Nothobranchius furzeri: one gene and its partner. The protein of the gene in region 1 interacts with the protein of each later gene in a biochemical or structural test. Links are inferred from orthologs where the notes say so. Each region holds a gene or a part of one and is shown on either strand. Other genes may lie near its edges. The genes, in order: drd2a and neuronal calcium sensor 1.

Region 1 (8,363 bases):
ATGAGTGTGATGTAATCTTAGCATCCAGTAAATAAAGTCCCATATCAGCTAAAATGCAGCGTGACAAAGTCATTAAAGTGCGTCAACACAGTGGATTTAATAGAGTTTTAAAGAACGATCTCTAAGTGAAGTGAGGTTAGTTTTTTGTCTCACTGCAGATATAAAAACTAACTCTGCATCAGTCAGACGCAGCAAAGCTCACCGTCTGTATGAGCGTGAGCGTCGGAAAGCTGATCAAATTGGCTGTAAAATAATTAAAACAAAGTAAAAATGTTCCTTTGCTTTTTAGAGTCCACATCCAGAAGACTGGAGCCATGTTTCACTGACAGGCTGTCAGACTAACGCCCTGATGAGCTCAGCTGGGACAAACTGGTCTGATGTTTAGGTAAGTGAAGATCTGCTTCTCCAAGTCCTTGAGATGCTAGTAAAAAATAATTTAGCCAGCTTGCTAATGTTACTTTTCTTCTCCTCTAAGGAACACAGAACGTTCAGATGTTGGCGTTTCACGTCACCTACTGAGGAAGGAGACCCACCAGTAAAGAGACGGTCTGGACCAGACCAAAGTGAGTGATGACACACCTCAGCCACCCTCATCATTAAGAACACCTCACCCCCTGAATCACTCCGTCTGATGACAGCAGAGTGATTTATTTGATGTTTTACTTGTTTAGTCTGTTTAGAAATTATTGAATTACATTATTTTCTGTAATCGACCATCTGATCTGGATGTGTGCAGAATAACTTTCCCCAAATTCAGCAGCAGCTGGCCTACAAAAACAGCTGCAGCATGTAGTGAGTGTCTGCACCGCTCTCTAATGAGCTTCCTTTCATAAGGAATCATTTGTATAATTTTAGTGTCACTATTTTATTACATTTGTAGGAAAATATGAAGTCACTGCAGCAAAGTGAACTTGTGAACAAACACAAACGTGACTATAAACATGAAAGCTAAAGAAACAACTTTCCTAAAGCTGCTTGTAAACAAAATATGTCATTAAAGTTATTGTCTATCATTGCAGAATATGGCGATGACATCATGGAACTGGTCTTTGGAAAAGTTTTCCCTGAACCAACTCCGTTTCTAGATGAGGTAGAGAAGATCTGCATCTCACCAACTCTCTGGTCTCAGTATTCAGACAACGGAGGTCTCCCACTGTTGTCCAGGACCAGTTTGAAGCCCACATACTGCCCCTCCCTCATCATCAGGAAACATCAATCCGTATCCTGAGGACAACAGAAGACGGCAGGAGGACAGGAACTCTGAGACCTAGACCACCAGCACCGAGACACAAAGCACCTGTGTGCACAACGCCTGTTTTAACTACTAAAGCCTGTTTATTATATTGTTCTACTTATTTGCTGTGAGGTTAATACTTAGAAAATTTGTATATTAATGTAAACAATAAAAAAATCACTGATTGTATGCTTTCTTTTAGATGTAATGGTCCAAACTCAGCCTTGTAGACATTTATTGCACCCTGTAGGTAAATACACAGAACAGGCTCAGGTCCAGGATGACCCAGCATGCTCTTCTTCCATTCTGGCTGTTAGGGATTGTATCAATAACTCAATGCCTACTGATGTTTTCACCTAACGGTATTTATTTAGAATGCAGGTAAGATTTAACTATATTTGTTAGCAAAGCAGACTGATCTTGGGAATTTCACTGCAGCACTGATGTCCACCTCTCTGTACACATTAGAGAGAATTACCACTTTACAGCTAAACACATTTAATAAAGATATAGGCTACGCATTGCAGACAATAAAAACAAAGTTGTAAGCATTAGAATTATAATGATGACATTAAAGAACACTTGGAGGAATGTTCTTTATTTTTGACTAGAATCTCAAATCTTTAAATTAAAATGTAACTGCTTTTTATCCATTTTCAGCCATTAAGACACCCAATATAAAATAAGACTACTTATAAAATTATTTATAATTATATGTATGTATATAGATAGAGATCTTAATAAAATATATTCTTTGAATGGTGTTTTAATGAGCTGTATCATTTTTTTAAACATTTTTTACAGAAATAAGCAAGCAGCATTCCTTGTGTGTGTGTGTGTGTGTGCGCGCGCGCGCGCGTTTGCGTGCTCGCTTGTCCCTCCGTCGGCCGTGACGGGTGTGTGTGAGTGACTACAGACAAATGCATGAGAGAGTTAGCAGCCATGAAACAGCTTGATGAACTACTCTCCCCACGTGGTTTAAAAATGCTAATATGCTATGCTAAATCTGCTATTCTAAATCATGATTTCTCTATAGAACTACAAAGTCCGACTGGGGGAGGAGAGTACAGGACTGCACTATGGAGGGGGCGGAGTTTACGGCTCCTCCTCCAGTTTAAAGAGACAGTACCCCAAAACGGCTCGTTCTCAAGACTCTCCTCAGAACTGGGGTAGATGAGGGTCTGTAGAGCAACAATAATGAGGAAATCAGACCAAAGAACTGCAGTTCCACTGTTTTTAGACCCCCAACTGAAGGATTTAGATGTAAAAAGGAATAACTTAAAAGCATGTTATGTCTCCTTTAACTGTTACATTAATTTATATGTTGGTAAAATAAACGAAAATGTCATTTTGCAGCTGAAAACTTAGTCGGGTGAATAAATTGGTGTTTAAATAAAAAAACGAATCTTTTTTTTAGCTCTGCCCTTGACTGATCTGAAAGACACAACTGTTCTGTTCTTAAACAACCTCCTGTCAGTGGCTCTGACACTGTACTCTCCTTGCATGACACAGCATTTTTTTTTTCCATTTCAGGACAAGTGCACTCATCCAGAGGATGTGAGGTTGTGTACCATGATTGTTAAATCTAATGGAAGTCTACCCATGAACAAGAAGAAAGTGGTGTGTTTCCCCTTTTTTCCCTTTAGAACAATTATTTCCCCCTTCAGATCATTTTTGCTGAAACAAAACACAAACGTGTGGTATATCTATTGCCTGTAATCTAGTTAAAATGATCATCTGAATCTGTGTTCTGCTGCTGATGTTCAGATTTTTATCAAAGATGCGGCCACTGAGGGGGAAGATTTGGAGCTAGATGAGCTGAACAACAGTGGCAGCAGCCAGAAGCAGAAACATCAGGCACAGGGTGTTCTTGGAGACACTCCGGCCACCAGCCACCAGCAGCTAATGCCTGACAAGGCCAATGCTAGCCCCACCTCCACACCTCCCACACCTCCTGAGGAGGGCCACAAAGCGGAGAAGAATGGCGAGCCCAAGGAGGCTCTGTCAGAGCCAGCGCCTGTTATAGCCAAAACCTTCCAGACGCAAGCCTTACCTAATGGCAAGACTCAGACTTCTGTTAAAACCATGAGCAAGAGAAAGATCTCCCAGCAGAAGGAGAAGAAAGCTACTCAGATGTTAGCCATTGTTCTTGGTATGTTGAAACATTTCTTTTGTAACTTCCTGTTTTGTTCAAATCATTCTGTGTTTTGTTTAAATTGAGCTCAGATCACAATCATAAAATCACACCAGAACAGAACAAAGCTCAACCTGATGAAAACCAAATATTTGATCTGGTTCTAGCTAATCACAAGGAGCGGTCCTAGTAGTAATTAGTCGTCTATTTGAAGGCTTTTATCTTCATCTAAAAAAATTGGAAAAACCTAAAAGATCTTAAAACAATGATGCAAGAAAACACACACACGTGTTTAAGATTTAGGGCGTTTTCCCCGTTCCCTTGTTTTTCTCCAACTCATGCCCTTTTTTCCACTCTTATCTCCTCAGGTGTATTCATCATTTGTTGGCTGCCATTTTTCATCACACATATCCTGAACACCCACTGCACCAAATGCAAAGTTCCCGCTGAGATGTATAACGCGTTCACTTGGCTGGGCTACGTGAACAGCGCTGTAAATCCCATCATATACACCACCTTTAATATCGAGTTCAGGAAGGCGTTCATTAAGATCCTGCACTGCTGAGCTGCTGCATCTCTTACTGATCTGACTGGAGGAGAAGTGAAAACTAAAAAGGGTTAGGCCATCTCTTCTGGCAAATACCTCATCCTGTTCAGGAAAAAATGCACCACATGGGAAAACTGCAATCGGAGTTTTAAGAAACAAAGAGAAAAGAAGAAGAAAAACAGCAGAGTGTCTCCTTGGAAGGCATGTTGGCTCTGTGTGTGAATTGTTTGAGGAGTTGTGCTCTCCAAATAACTGAATGTAAAACAAGAAAAGTCTGTAACAATGTGGAAGAAAAAAAAGTAACATTGTTCTCCGAAGTCATTGTGCTTGTTACGTAAGGAGCCATCTGTGTATAACTACACACATGCAAGTTGCAAACTGATTTTCTGTGTGTGTGTGTGTGCGTGCGTGCGTGCGTGCGTGCGTGTGTGTGTGTGTGTGTGTGTGTGTGTCTGTCAATTTTATGTTTTAATGATTATGAAAAAACTTCTGGAAATCCCAAAAATATCACATCAGTGTTCATTGCAGTGTTAATCAGCTCTCTCACTGAGGGGAATGTGTGTCGAAGAGAAGATTAACTTTCTGTAAAATGTGACGATGCCAATATCTGCAGTTTTGCAGTTTTATAAATTAAGCTCTTATCATTATTATTTTGTTTGCTGTAATGTACATAGTTTTAAAACACAGTAACTGTGATTATATGCCTGCAATGGAAATGTGATGCATGCTACACCACTCCTCTATTTGACTTTTCATAAAAAAATTTTAAAAATGTATGTACAAAATACCAAAAGAATTCCCAAAAAATAAAATACCCATGTTAAGTTCCACATAGCAATGTTTACAATATATGATTTATTAATTACTTGTCACTGATATGATAAATGTTGGTGCTAACAAGCGTGTTTCTGCAGTGGAACTGTTTCAAAGCAAACTAATGACCTACCTGTGGAGTTTGCTGCCTCCAGGTTTAAATATTACGATGTGTGAACCTCCTGAAGCTTCTCCCGAGGCCTTTTACATGCAAGACTGAGGTAAATTTGGTAAAAAGAAAAAAAAAAGGAAAAATATCCTGAAATAAAAGCTCCAAGCAGTAAATCCTTGTTGCTCAGGGTGACATATATTGCAGCATATTTAGATCAACATTTAAGGCATTGTTATCTACAACCTTCCAGATTTCTTCTATTACCTTTGCTCAAACTGAGATTGGGTTGAAAACTACGATCTGGCATACAGCACTGAACACAACAGCATTGAGTGTATAAACAGAAACATTACATTTGATGTGAATATGAAAGGAAAGGACCTGCTAGTAGTTTTAGTAAAAGGGCAGGTAAACAGGCTGCAGATGAGATGTGTATCTTTTCCAAATTTGTCTCCAACATCTCCTCACCCCTACTTCACACTGGAAGCATCAGCGTCATAGAATGGCAGCAAAACATTGCTGCTTCAAATACAATCCATTATAGTTTATGGGGGTGATTCAAACTAGCCGCGATGCAGAAATTTTCAGGCACATGTCAGAAGCGGCTCGCTGCACCACTCTGCTAAAGATAGGATCAGGTTCTATTTTTGCAGCGAACCGCTTCTGAGACACATCAATTTCCGCAGTTAACATAGGACTAGACAGGGAATCACACATGGTATCAGTGTAAAACCTCTAATTTTCAAAATGAAAGGCTGCAGTGATGCAATTTCATATGTTTGTAGATTACATCAATACATGTGACCTAAAGTCTTATTTACTCACAGCATCGTTCTAAAAGTGCAGCAGTGCGTTTTTCATGGCTTTAATCCTGGCAGTGGAGAGAAACATCATTTATGACATCAGTGAAATCAATTGTGATTTCCTTCTTTTTGGTTTAATAGCGGATGACATAAGCAAACTGTAAACTTTGAAGCCTCCAGGGATTTTGTGGTCTTGCAAGTCCAGCTAGGAGCACGGCAGAGACGCCGCTCCTTGGCTGAGATTCTCCCGGTGTGTACTAACAGGCAGCGAAACTCACAAGTAAACTGCTCCGCTGCCATTCCGCTCCCCTAAGGCCTCCAGTGTGAAGTAGGGGTCAGAGTTCATTCACATTTCTTGTAAATTAAAAGAAGGAAACCAGGTGGGATGCAGAGGTCCACAGTGACTTTATCACTGTTTTAAGAAAACATCTGTCATGGAAAAACTTTTGAACACATTTCGCATCAGGCGGCACAGCTGCAAGCCCCCGCGACTCAACTACTACGAGAAATTTTGAAACCACCTTCACAAGCACATTTTGCTATTTGTCACCAACAGTCACATCTGGGTGAGGATTGGTTTTTAACCAGAATGCAAAAGACCATAAAAAGTCATTGACAGGGGGATTCTGCTATTTGAGAGTAGCTCAGAGTTGAGTCAGCACTGCTCTACGCTGTAAGGAGCCAATTTAGCTCAAAGGCCATGTTCACTGAGAAACCATTTATTTTTCAAGTTGCTATTTTTGAAATAGGATCAGTCACTCTGACCATCACATGCAGGCTGAATGCGAAGTCTTCAAAACTACTTCCTGCAGTAGAGGCCTGGAGAAAAAGATGGGGAAACTCAGGTTGGAATATCCTGACAATTGCACGTCACATTGGGAATTAGCATTCGTGGATTCACCTAATTTGGCTCATGACGGGGAAGGCTGTTGTTGATTTAGCATCCTGGAAAAAGTAGAGAATGTCTCAACTAATAGAAGCAAATCATTAGCATTAGCAACTTCACAACATGCAGAACTTCTTCAGACTTTTGTTATTTGTGGAGATAAAACATCAACGTTGCAGAGCAGTCAGTGGTAGAGCCGTGTTGCTGATATCCAATTAGAGGTTAGATGTCCAAATATCAGGAAATAAGACTCCAAATACTGCTGTGTTCAGCTCAACTCAGCTGTTGCCCAGTTCCTGAAGCAGGAGTGCCAGAGTGTATGTTCCACAAGTATCGGCTCACAAGACATTCATATATGCTAGAGATCACTGAAAATGCATGGAAAAATTGGTGAACTGGGTGTTTAAGTAAGCATTTGGTAAGGATGACTCCCGGATATGTTCCAATAAGATGATTCAGACATGTCTCACCCCAGGGGTGGCGTTAAGCCTGGCTACTTGGGCTCAAGCCCCGAGTGTTTTATGAAAAGCCCCGGATCTCAAACGTGGAAGTAGCGTGCAGTACCAAAGTCCAACAGAGAGGGAGCAGCGAGCAGGAGTTTGTATGCAGCCTGCCTGAGACTCCACCACTGAAGAAGAAGCCCTTCAGCAGCCGGCTTCTTCTGCAGTGCCTGGTTTCTTCTACACTCTGCTTGAAACGCATGAGTGAAGATGGACATAAGGACGTTTTTTAGACAAAAAGTACAATGACAGAACCCCAGCTTTGATGAGACTGGAGTTGACTCAGGTTTGTGAGTCTTATTTGAAAATATTTGTTGTGCTGCTGGTTTGCCTAAAGTTAGCTTACTATCAGGTAAAGTTGTTGGAGAAAGAAAGGGAATATTTACTATCATCTCACACTAAACACTAACAGGAACAATATTCTGCCCTGAATATGCTTAATATGTAGCTTCAGATTAAAAATTATGTGGTACAAGACAAATATATATGATGTTGACTAGTGTGTGTCACGTGTGTGTGTGTGTGTGCACGCGTGCGTGTGTGTGTGTGTGTGTGTGTGTGTGTGTGTTAAGCCCCGGATCTTCTTCAGTCCTAAATCCGCCCCTGTCTCACCCAAAGGTAGCCACGAGGCAGACATGGGACTTCTAAAGAGCTTATACCTCACAGATGTCCTGAGATCAACTTGGTGTTCCACTGGGTGAGCTGGAAAGAGAAGGGTCATGTGAGGTCTTCTTAAACTGTTCATGCAACCTAGTCTTAGATAAATGCATAAAGCTAGATGAATGGATGTTTTTACCTTTTCTGGTTTGTTTACTTTGTTTCTTGGTTCATAAATGTGAAAGAATGGGGATTTTTCCCCTTAAATGTGACAAGCGGTTCACATCTGATTGTGAAGTAGCTGGGATGAAAATCAGCCCGTCTAAATCCAAAGCCATGGACTTGAATCGGAGAAGGGTAGAATGCCTTCTCCAGGTCATGGACGAGGTCCTGTCTCTAGGGGAGGAGTTTAAGTGTCTTGGGGACTTGTTCACGAGTGAGGGACAAATGGAGCAGGAGATCGATAGGCAGATTTGTCTCTTGATTCATAAATGTTAAAGAATTATGATTTTCCTCTTAAATGTGACAACTGGTTTTAATGTAATCATCGGAATTTTACAACAACATTCTTTTTGTACCTTGTTACGGTCGTGGCACACAGTGGAAAAAACAGGTGATGCTGAGAGCTCTAATGTGAAGGGCTAAATGAAGGCTGATGAGATATTTCTAATACGCTTCATAAAAGAAAAGTGTACTAGATGTTGATCCAGTAGGCAACTGCGGCTCAGGAGGTGAAG
Region 2 (9,005 bases), on another chromosome or scaffold:
GTACAGCATGCGCGCCTCGTGCACGAGCCTCCTATTGAAGCTGCCATTACGCTTTTTGCCTGAGGGGGCAATCGCGAACATAAAAATTCAAAACTCCGTAAAGTCCCTTTAATTGTTGTAGTGAAATTTGTAGAAAAAAAGCCACAATTATTCATCATTTTATCTAAATCATTTACAGTTATGCTGACAATCATATTGCTCAGTAGAAAACAGATGATTGAGCATCCCTGTAACTGGTAATCACACCAAAGATGTGTCAGTAATAGGACAGCAGTTATAGATATAGAACACACATGTTTTATTGCAAAAAATATTTAACATTTTTCAGGTATAAACACATTATTATTATTATTATTATTATTATTATTATTATTATTATTATTATTATTATTATTATTATTATTATTATGTGCTCTATCAATCTAAACAGGTGTTATTCATATTTTATTATCAGACGGCGGATTAGCCGAACCCATAAAACAACTGGAGGATTCAGGTAAAGTGGGTCAGCGCTGGATTTTGACGTGCATTGTGTCTTCTGCAGCTTGAATACCAATTAGGTCTTACTTTACATTAAAGCTGGGCTTTCATTTTCCAGCATATCTCCAGATAATTTAAATGTGAGAATTACATGGTTCTGCTGTCTCCTTGCCTTGCTTCTTGTTGGACTCTTTTCTTTTATAGCATCTGCAGCTCTCCGTTTCTCTGACTCTGTAGAGCTGGCTTTATTATCTCCCGCTAAGATTAAAAAGTGTGCATGAAGAAGCTCAGAACTGGCTTTCGTTCTTCATCAGAGCTTTTTTCTTGCCTTAATTATAGCCTAACTTCTTTTTTTTTAACCCCAAGCAGAATCTGAGCTGTACAAGCACTGCTCCCTTGTGTGTAATTGCTTTGCTATTGTAGTTTTTTTCTTCTGCTATTTCCTTCTTGCTCATGTAACATTCAATTTAGTTAAGAATAACACTCATCCTCGCTCCTTGATCTGTTCTTTAGACTCCATGACGATTGTTTTTCCGTTACGAAGGCATTCCAGGAAACCGCCTACCTTTGAGTGACTGTGCTTCAAATTGCTTATGAGATGCTGCTATATATAGGCTTATAGAGATGTTAAGTCGTTCTCGGGATGTGTCATTTCCAGGGCCAAGAGGAAGCTCTCAGACCTATCTATCTATTATACCTAATATCAAAAGAGAAGCAGAGAAGAATTTGATTAGAGTAAACCACCTTTGGCTTGCTATTAGATTAGGGCGATTGCCTTATCTGTAAATGAGACAAATAGCTTTCACCTTCTAGATCTCTGAGTCAGGGATACCTACTGTAGAGGTGAGGAGGTGGCTTCTTGCTTTCGTCACTGCAGGCCACTTGTGTTTTGATTTTATAGTTGCGGTGTAGAAAATGTTATTTTTATACCTCAAAAGATCTCTAAACTAGTTCTGCTTTCCAGGTACAAGGGCTTCATCAAGGACTGTCCAAGTGGGCAGCTGGATGCTGTTGGCTTCCAGAAGATTTATAAACAGTTTTTCCCTTTTGGAGATCCAACAAAGTTTGCTTCATTTGTCTTCAATGTATTTGATGAAAATAAGGTTTGTTATCATGCCTCTTGTTACTTCAGACTCACTATAAATAGTTTCTGTATAATTTTCATTAGGACATTGGGCCAGAGGATACTTTTGAGGGCTACAGCTTCTGTCTGTTGAATTGTAGCTCCAACAAATCATCATTTTTCTGATTAGTTTAAATTCCTTTATTATATACATTATATACCAGCCCCAAGTTAGATTAACTTGAAAATACACTAAACAAAATTTCTGGTCTCAGCAGGCATTTGTTAAGATTGATGCATTTTTTGGGTCCTGGAGATAATTTCTGATGAAATTCTAGAAAATTCCACCTTAAATTCTTAGAATTTTCCTTTATTACAATAAAACAACTTCATAAAGATGTCTGCCTGGGAGAGTGTTCACATTGCAATAGGTTGATTAGGAGTAAGTGGTCCCAACACACATATAAAGTCTGTACAGTTTGTTTTTAGTAGTGTAACAGATGTTTGTGTCTGTGTGGGCACATCCCCTAGGGATCCAAGTACATGATGACATGGCAAGTTTTAACAAGGCCAGCCTATACATTGGGCAGAAGAAACCCCCCATCAGCTGCACACAATTATTCTTATTGCGTTTACGTGAACTAACTATAAGTGAGCAGCTCCTGGGTCGTTGGTGAGCCCCTGTAGGTTTACTGATTCCAGATAAGTGGCTTTATGTTGGAAAGATCAGACGATCTCCAAACGTCTGACGTTTATCTGTAGTCTCATTAGCGATAGGCACCCTGTAGCTGGAGAATGCATTGATCTTAACAGTTTTTATGGCTTCTTTAATCGATGGTGCATGACTTCAGGATTTTCTGATCAGGCAGATGTCTGCTAGAGATAAAGTTAGCTGACCTCAAGGGCCTTGAGGCTTTTTTTTTCTCAAGGAAATGTAGGAACTCGTTGAGGTACAGATAGTCAGCTGTTGTAAAAGAATACAGGAAAATCTTTGGAATGACAGGAATTTTTCAAAGATCTGATGCCTTCAGGCAAACTTCTTGATTTTTGAATTCATTTTCGGTGTGAGCGGGTTTCATTTACAGCTGGACGCTGCCTGTTTTTTTATGATGTTGTTGCTTCAGGCCGCTTGATAAATGGTCAGAATATGAGCCACTAGTTGTTGTTTTATTTTTGGTTGTTTTCCATGCCACCAGGCTTTCTTCCACACAAATCATGTCGTCCCCCCCCAAAAAAAACCCTCTGAAGGACACAGTTCTTGAATATTCACAGGAAGTTAATGTCAAAAGAATAGTTTCTCCATTGTTTGGACAGAGTTTCAGAGATGGAACATTTGGAAGATACTGGCCACCAGTAAAGACTGGTTATGTCTGTGAAGTCTACGTTTTGGAAAATGAGCCAGTAGCATCGATCTTGCTAATGACTCAAAGTGACGTTTCAGCCTCAGAGAAGGCCAGGTGTGGGGCGAAAATAGCAGTTTCTGTAAATCCATTTAGAGTGAACGGGAACTATGTTAGTCATTTTGAAACAGAAGGGTTTCCTGTCACACTCTGTCTCTCTACAGGATGGACGCATTGAGTTTTCAGAGTTCATCCAGGCCTTGTCAGTGACCTCCAGGGGGACTCTGGATGAGAAGCTTAGATGTAAGATGATGGTCTACGCTTCTTCCTTTGTTTTTGTGAATTGAAGGTTTGATTGTGATGATCCTTAAAGAACAGCAGATTAAACAATAATAACCCAGAAGCTGCAGGGTTTTGCCTTCTGGTTTAAACTTGAAAAAGAAATTAAAAAATGCAACTTTAACAAAGCTTTTAGAATCACAGTAGTCCTCCACACCCATAGTGATAATACATGAGCCAGGTAAAACGTCTCCTTGGTGCACCAAAGCCTGTATTTAACGTTTTGTCTTCATACAGGGGCTTTTAAGCTTTATGATCTCGACAATGACGGCTACATAACTCGTGATGAAATGTTAAACATTGTCGATGCGATTTATCAGATGGTGGTAAGTTTTGGCTACTCCTTTTATTTTTGATCCTTCTCAGCTCTCAGTGAGCTCGGATGTAATTGAATTGTATTTTAGGGGAACACTGTGGAGTTGCCAGAGGAGGAAAACACACCAGAAAAGCGAGTGGACCGTATTTTTGCTATGATGGATAAGGTCAGTATTTAAATATTAAGAAAAGTAAAGTGTCAAAGACAGGAATACTACAGGTCTGTAGCCCATCATGAAACTAGATCTGACATTGCTGTGAGTGAACGGAGAATTATTAGTTTGCCATTTATAGGAATGAATCTGCCTTTGTTGCCACCCATGGGGGAGTTTAATTTGGGCACTGTTATGTTTAGAGCTGTTAAATGTACCCATGTTAGTGTCACTAATACTGCCTGCAGTCTATAAACATGGTTTATAGTCACCTACACCAGCAGCGCAGTGCCCACTCTGTCAGCACAGAGAATCCAATCAGTCTCAGTGAAAGATGAGACGCCGGCTGTATTTGTGTGTTTGGGGTTTTACTGGTGCCAACACTGGCCTGTAGGACTGGTTGTGCAGCTCTCACTCGTTTCTACAAGGACTGCAGCTTCTATCCAAGTTTACTAAGCTGAAAATCAGCCTAAAATAGGAGCTCCATGAGTCTGAGAGCAGCTTTGGCCCCCTGCTGGTGTTTTTAAAGAGCAAGTCACCCCCTACAAGAGTCTAACTCCACTCCCACTTCATGTTTGAAAAATGCAACAAATGCCGTTGCCTGGCAGACCAAGAGGGCGGAGCCGCTAACAAATACACACACACAGACTCACGACAGCATTGTGACATCATAATGTACCAGTTTACATCATAGCATACCTCTTAGCCAATAGCGGTGGCAGATTTAAATTCAAATACAGTGCATAGTTTTTACCTGACAAAGGCACAACACTGACGGTTTTAGGCAGAATATTTAAATTTTAACTAAGATGCACTGAAGTGCCAAATTATTGACTACACGTGTCTGCAGCACGATTAGACACTCGTTTATTTAGTTTATCAGCAAAAAAAAGTTGATTTGGGGGTGACTTGCTCTTTAAGTTAAACTCTTCAGTGTCTTCAGTTTCATGTTGTTTCATGTTGCAGAATTCCGACGGGAAGCTGACACTGCAGGAGTTCCAGGAAGGTTCAAAGGCTGACCCCTCTATTGTTCAAGCACTGTCACTGTATGATGGACTTGTTTAAGATGCCAGGTGAGTAAGGGGGTGGGGTTAATGAGCGACAACGTTTCAAGTCATGCTTTACTTTTATGTTAATAATGTGTACACCCGAGTAAAGCTTAACAAAGACCACAATCTTTGAGCTGAAATGAAAGGATGGAGGCAATTTGTGTTCTCAGTTTGTTTCTATGAATTATTCAAGTGGCCCACTTGTTTACTGGCACTATAACAGTCTTGCAGTGCTGGATGAAGGCTGAGACAGCCATCACATCTCACTGCCTAATGTAGTGCACTTGCTGCTGCCAATTGTTGCTGACGTCCTGCTCAGTGTTCTGTCAACTGTGAAGTGAGGACATAATGTATGTGTTCATAGCAGGGATCTGATCAGATGTTGTCATGCTTCTCTTGAACGCACCTAAACTCACTGTCATCAGGCAGCACAGTAACCCGTTTTACAACTTCTCAGATGGCTCCAGTTCTCCATCCTCCTGCCTCATTACACGCCAATGCAGCACCATCACTTCTGCAATGGGAGGAGGCATTATTTACCCCGATCACCCAAAAGAGGACAACAAATGTTCATCACACGACAAGATGCGTCAAGTAGCTGCTCATCTACAAGCATCTTCTCTGATGTTCCAGTAACACATGCCAACTATCAGTGCTTCTACAGCTATGTAGCACCACCTCCTCTGTGTTGTGGACTGAACATCTCTGAGGCTGTTCTCCTGGACAATCCAAGGATTCCTGCTGAGTTGTTGGTGTGCTTCTTGTCCACACTAGTGAGATGAACTTCTCAGAGGAACTGCTGCTGCTTCATGGAGAGACTTTTAATCCCCAACCTGAACAAGAGTGTTGCTGAGTGATGACATGAACAATAACTTAATGTTACAAGGCAGTATAGTGTGTATTATACCATGTAAATATAATTTATTTTCTGCTTTGCTGCATTTATGAGAATTTCCTCATAAATATGGAATGAATTTTATTTTTATCAAAAGTGTTTTGCACTGTATTTTCCAATTTTATTGTTATTGTTGTTGGATGATTCTTTTGACACATTCTTGACTGAAAAGGGTTTTTAGTTAGAGGGATGCTTCGGTGGCATGGTTTTCTATAGATTTTACTACGTTTGCCATACAGTGCATCCCATTGTGTTCTCTTTTCACTGTTAGCATGAGTGTTGCACAATTACATCCTGAATGGCACGATAAAGCAACACAGCAAACTGTCCCAGCTTTGCATCAGAATTGAGACTTTAGTGTTTCTTTGGCGAGCTCCACTGCCCACCCTCAGCTACACAGAGCTCTGGCTGTAAAGCTTTTGTGAGCGCTGTGGTTGCTAATGTGATGTTTGTTTAGTGTGAGACCAGAGCATGTACTGATGCCTTTTTTCTTACTTAAATCACTTATTTTAAAGAATTTAAATGTTTTATCAGCTTCTATGCCTTATGCAACTTTTAAGTTAATAATGCCATTTACCTGTTTAGTTTAAGAGCACAGAATAAAATGCATTTAAGTGGCTAATATTTCTATTACTGTATTTTTAGTTTTTAGTGATTAGAAGTGTTTCTTTCTCTTTTGTATAGCTGTTTGAATGGGTTTAATAGGCTGCTTTGTAGAATATTTATTCATTTTTTAATCCCATTGATGTAAAGACAGCAACCCATAAAAGCAGATGTTTGTGGGAATGGGATCTGGTCCAAGCCTTCCACTGCACTGTGCTCCATCCCTAGTAGTGAAAGGTGTCATATCAAGCTTTAGTGCCTGTTCTGCTTTGCAACACAGAATCTAACACTCCAGCCTAGTCTGTGGCGTGAGTCTGCTCTGTATGGTTGTGTAAGGAACAACATAAAACTGTGAAGTGTTAGCACTGATGGGTGAGTTAATGAGGCGTAGCGGCTTTTTGAGGTTGCTGAGTCTCCTCAGATCATCAAGGACATGGAGCTGATATCAGAAGATGGAACTGTCCAGAGCTTTGACCGGAGACTGTTTTGTCCCATGGTTCTTCTTTTGTATTTGCAGCATGTTGCTGGAACAAGTGCAGTAAAACACAAATGTATTTTGAAGTAAACTGTCAGCTTCTTGTCTCAAAAAGTCTCTGGGTCCCCACCATCTTTGGGAGAAGACAACTAATGATTTGCCTACAAAAACACATTACTTTGATTATCAGTATTTCCTTCAGACCAAGTGTTTATTTCTTGGTGTTGATACAGTTTTTGCATCACACTTAATATAAACATTATTCTTTATAAAAGAGGTTGTTACTGTAAGATGTTGCTCCCTGTCTTCAGCTTCATGTGCACGGAGTTGTTTGGGACTGTGTCACGAGGGGTCCATGCACTGCTAAGAGAAAATCAAACTGTAATGGGGCGCTGGTATTTGAGTCTCCTCACTCGGTGGGGTCGAGTTACACTCAGGCGCATCAAAAGCAGGTTGGGTCTTGGGAACCTTTTAATACCCATCTCCGCCCCGTTTGAAGCGTCAGAGCAGCAGCCCTCCGGGGGATCCCTGCGCGCAGCCAGTCCGCGCGCTCCTCCAAACTTTACGCACGCATGTCCTGTGGAACGACTTAAAACCGGATTTTGATGCGTTTTAACCGAGTTGCGCCGGTCCACAAACTTGTTCTATGTACCCGGGCATCCAAAGGCTTTGAATTAACACTTTTTTTTTTTACAAAGTTTCTCATTCTTTTACTGTTTTTTATTCAATTTTTGTTTTTAATGTGATTAACCTCATTCCAGCAGACAGATGCGGTAAATATAGGGACTGAAAAGATGACCGGTGCCTTATTGAAGTGCCTCTTGTTGGTGCTCCATGTCAGCGCGCAAGGGCTCTTGGGAGAGTCCTTGTCGCACCCCCGGGTTGACGAGGGCGATGAATCCGATGACAGCGCCTCAACCCTGGCCTTTGTGTTCGACGTGACCGGCTCTATGTACGATGATCTGAAACAGGTGATTGAGGGAGCCTCGCGGATCCTGGAGAAGACTCTCAGCAGAAGAACCAGACCCATCAAAAACTTTGTCCTGGTTCCCTTCCACGACCCAGGTACCATACACAACCTTAGCTTTTCTTTGATTTTTTTTTAAAGAATGAGGGTTCAAAGAAACAACATTGATCTAATCAGGCATATAAAGCACACTCCCTTTTCCACAGATTCTGAAACTATCATTTAGTGTTTGTAGTAAAAATTCAGTAAAAGCTACACATTTGAAAAGTAATCCATCCTGTTAGGCAGCACATTTAACCCAAACTGATAATTGTTAGAGTTACAGGTAAACCCCCTCTCCCGGCAGCATCTGTCCTATCTGGTGTGGCTTCAGCTTTCGAATAAGAGTGCTCCAGTCCTGTTTGTGCTCTGATGAGAAGCATATGCTGACTGCTTGTGTGTAATTACCTCAATCACACACACACACACACACACACACACACACACACACACACACACACACACACACACACACACACACACACACACACACACACACACACACACACACACACACACACACACACACACACACTTCTCAGCCTCCGGAAAACCCTCACAACCCCCAGTTTGGATAGCCTGCAGGGGGGCAGATTTAGATGGTGGGGGGCAAACCCCACACATCTTGTCTGTGTTTAATGTGTCCTGCCCTTGGGGACTTTGTAAACTTCCAAGATTGCAAAGAAGCAGCAGTGGCTGACAAACAAGAGTCGTGACAGTGCTGTCAGTGTTTTACAGCCACCCAAGAGGGGGAGGAGGAGGAGGCAAAGACATGAAAGGTGCCTCTTCTTGAAATAAGATTGTGAATGAACACAAACAGTCATCAGCTTGACACATGTCTGCAAGTTCTTCATCATTAATCTCACAAAGATGTGTCAAAATGGGTTTTTGACAGTTGGGAGAACAATCACGGTTGCATGGAAATCACCCCCGCCCTGAACGATGAGGTTCTTCTCTGACTGCGCACATTCTCAGCGTGATTTCTGCTCTTTCTGATTGACCACAGAGGATGTCGGAGTACATGTCAAGTTCTGACAGACTCTTATCCATCACGCTTGCCTCTACTGCTCCTTGAGGCCTGAGGAAGTAAAAATGCTGACAGCAGCAGCAGAAAGGGATTATTTTGTCTTCATTCAAGCTGCCGGTCGTGTTTCAGAGATTTGTTCTAAACAATACTTGACAAATTTGCCACTACATTTGTCTACTGCTGTGTGCAAATTAGATCTCAACCAGAGGCAGCAGGACATCATTCAGGTCCTGATGAATTGGACTCTTATTCATCAGAGAT

The links.
Region 2: the proteins of drd2a (region 1) and neuronal calcium sensor 1 form a complex in vitro, tested with the Homo sapiens proteins (2 studies listed by BioGRID, with this or other methods). The link is inferred for Nothobranchius furzeri from reciprocal best matches to the Homo sapiens genes DRD2 and NCS1.

The regions. Positions count from the first base shown.
Region 1 is NC_091753.1:39,795,910-39,804,272, forward strand, and holds the end of drd2a (dopamine receptor D2a), read left to right. Parts: intron 1-2,767; coding exon 2,768-2,854; intron 2,855-3,001; coding exon 3,002-3,386; intron 3,387-3,736; coding exon 3,737-3,933; 3' UTR 3,934-5,013; downstream 5,014-8,363. UniProt on the Homo sapiens protein: Dopamine receptor whose activity is mediated by G proteins which inhibit adenylyl cyclase. Positively regulates postnatal regression of retinal hyaloid vessels via suppression of VEGFR2/KDR activity, downstream of OPN5.
Region 2 is NC_091757.1:35,624,846-35,633,850, forward strand, and holds the end of neuronal calcium sensor 1, read left to right. Parts: intron 1-1,444; coding exon 1,445-1,583; intron 1,584-3,107; coding exon 3,108-3,186; intron 3,187-3,459; coding exon 3,460-3,548; intron 3,549-3,626; coding exon 3,627-3,704; intron 3,705-4,655; coding exon 4,656-4,754; 3' UTR 4,755-4,762; intron 4,763-5,195; 3' UTR 5,196-5,392; downstream 5,393-9,005. Other genes in the region: hmcn2 (hemicentin-1), read left to right, coding at 7,506-7,776. UniProt on the Homo sapiens protein: Neuronal calcium sensor, regulator of G protein-coupled receptor phosphorylation in a calcium dependent manner. Directly regulates GRK1 (RHOK), but not GRK2 to GRK5. Can substitute for calmodulin. Stimulates PI4KB kinase activity.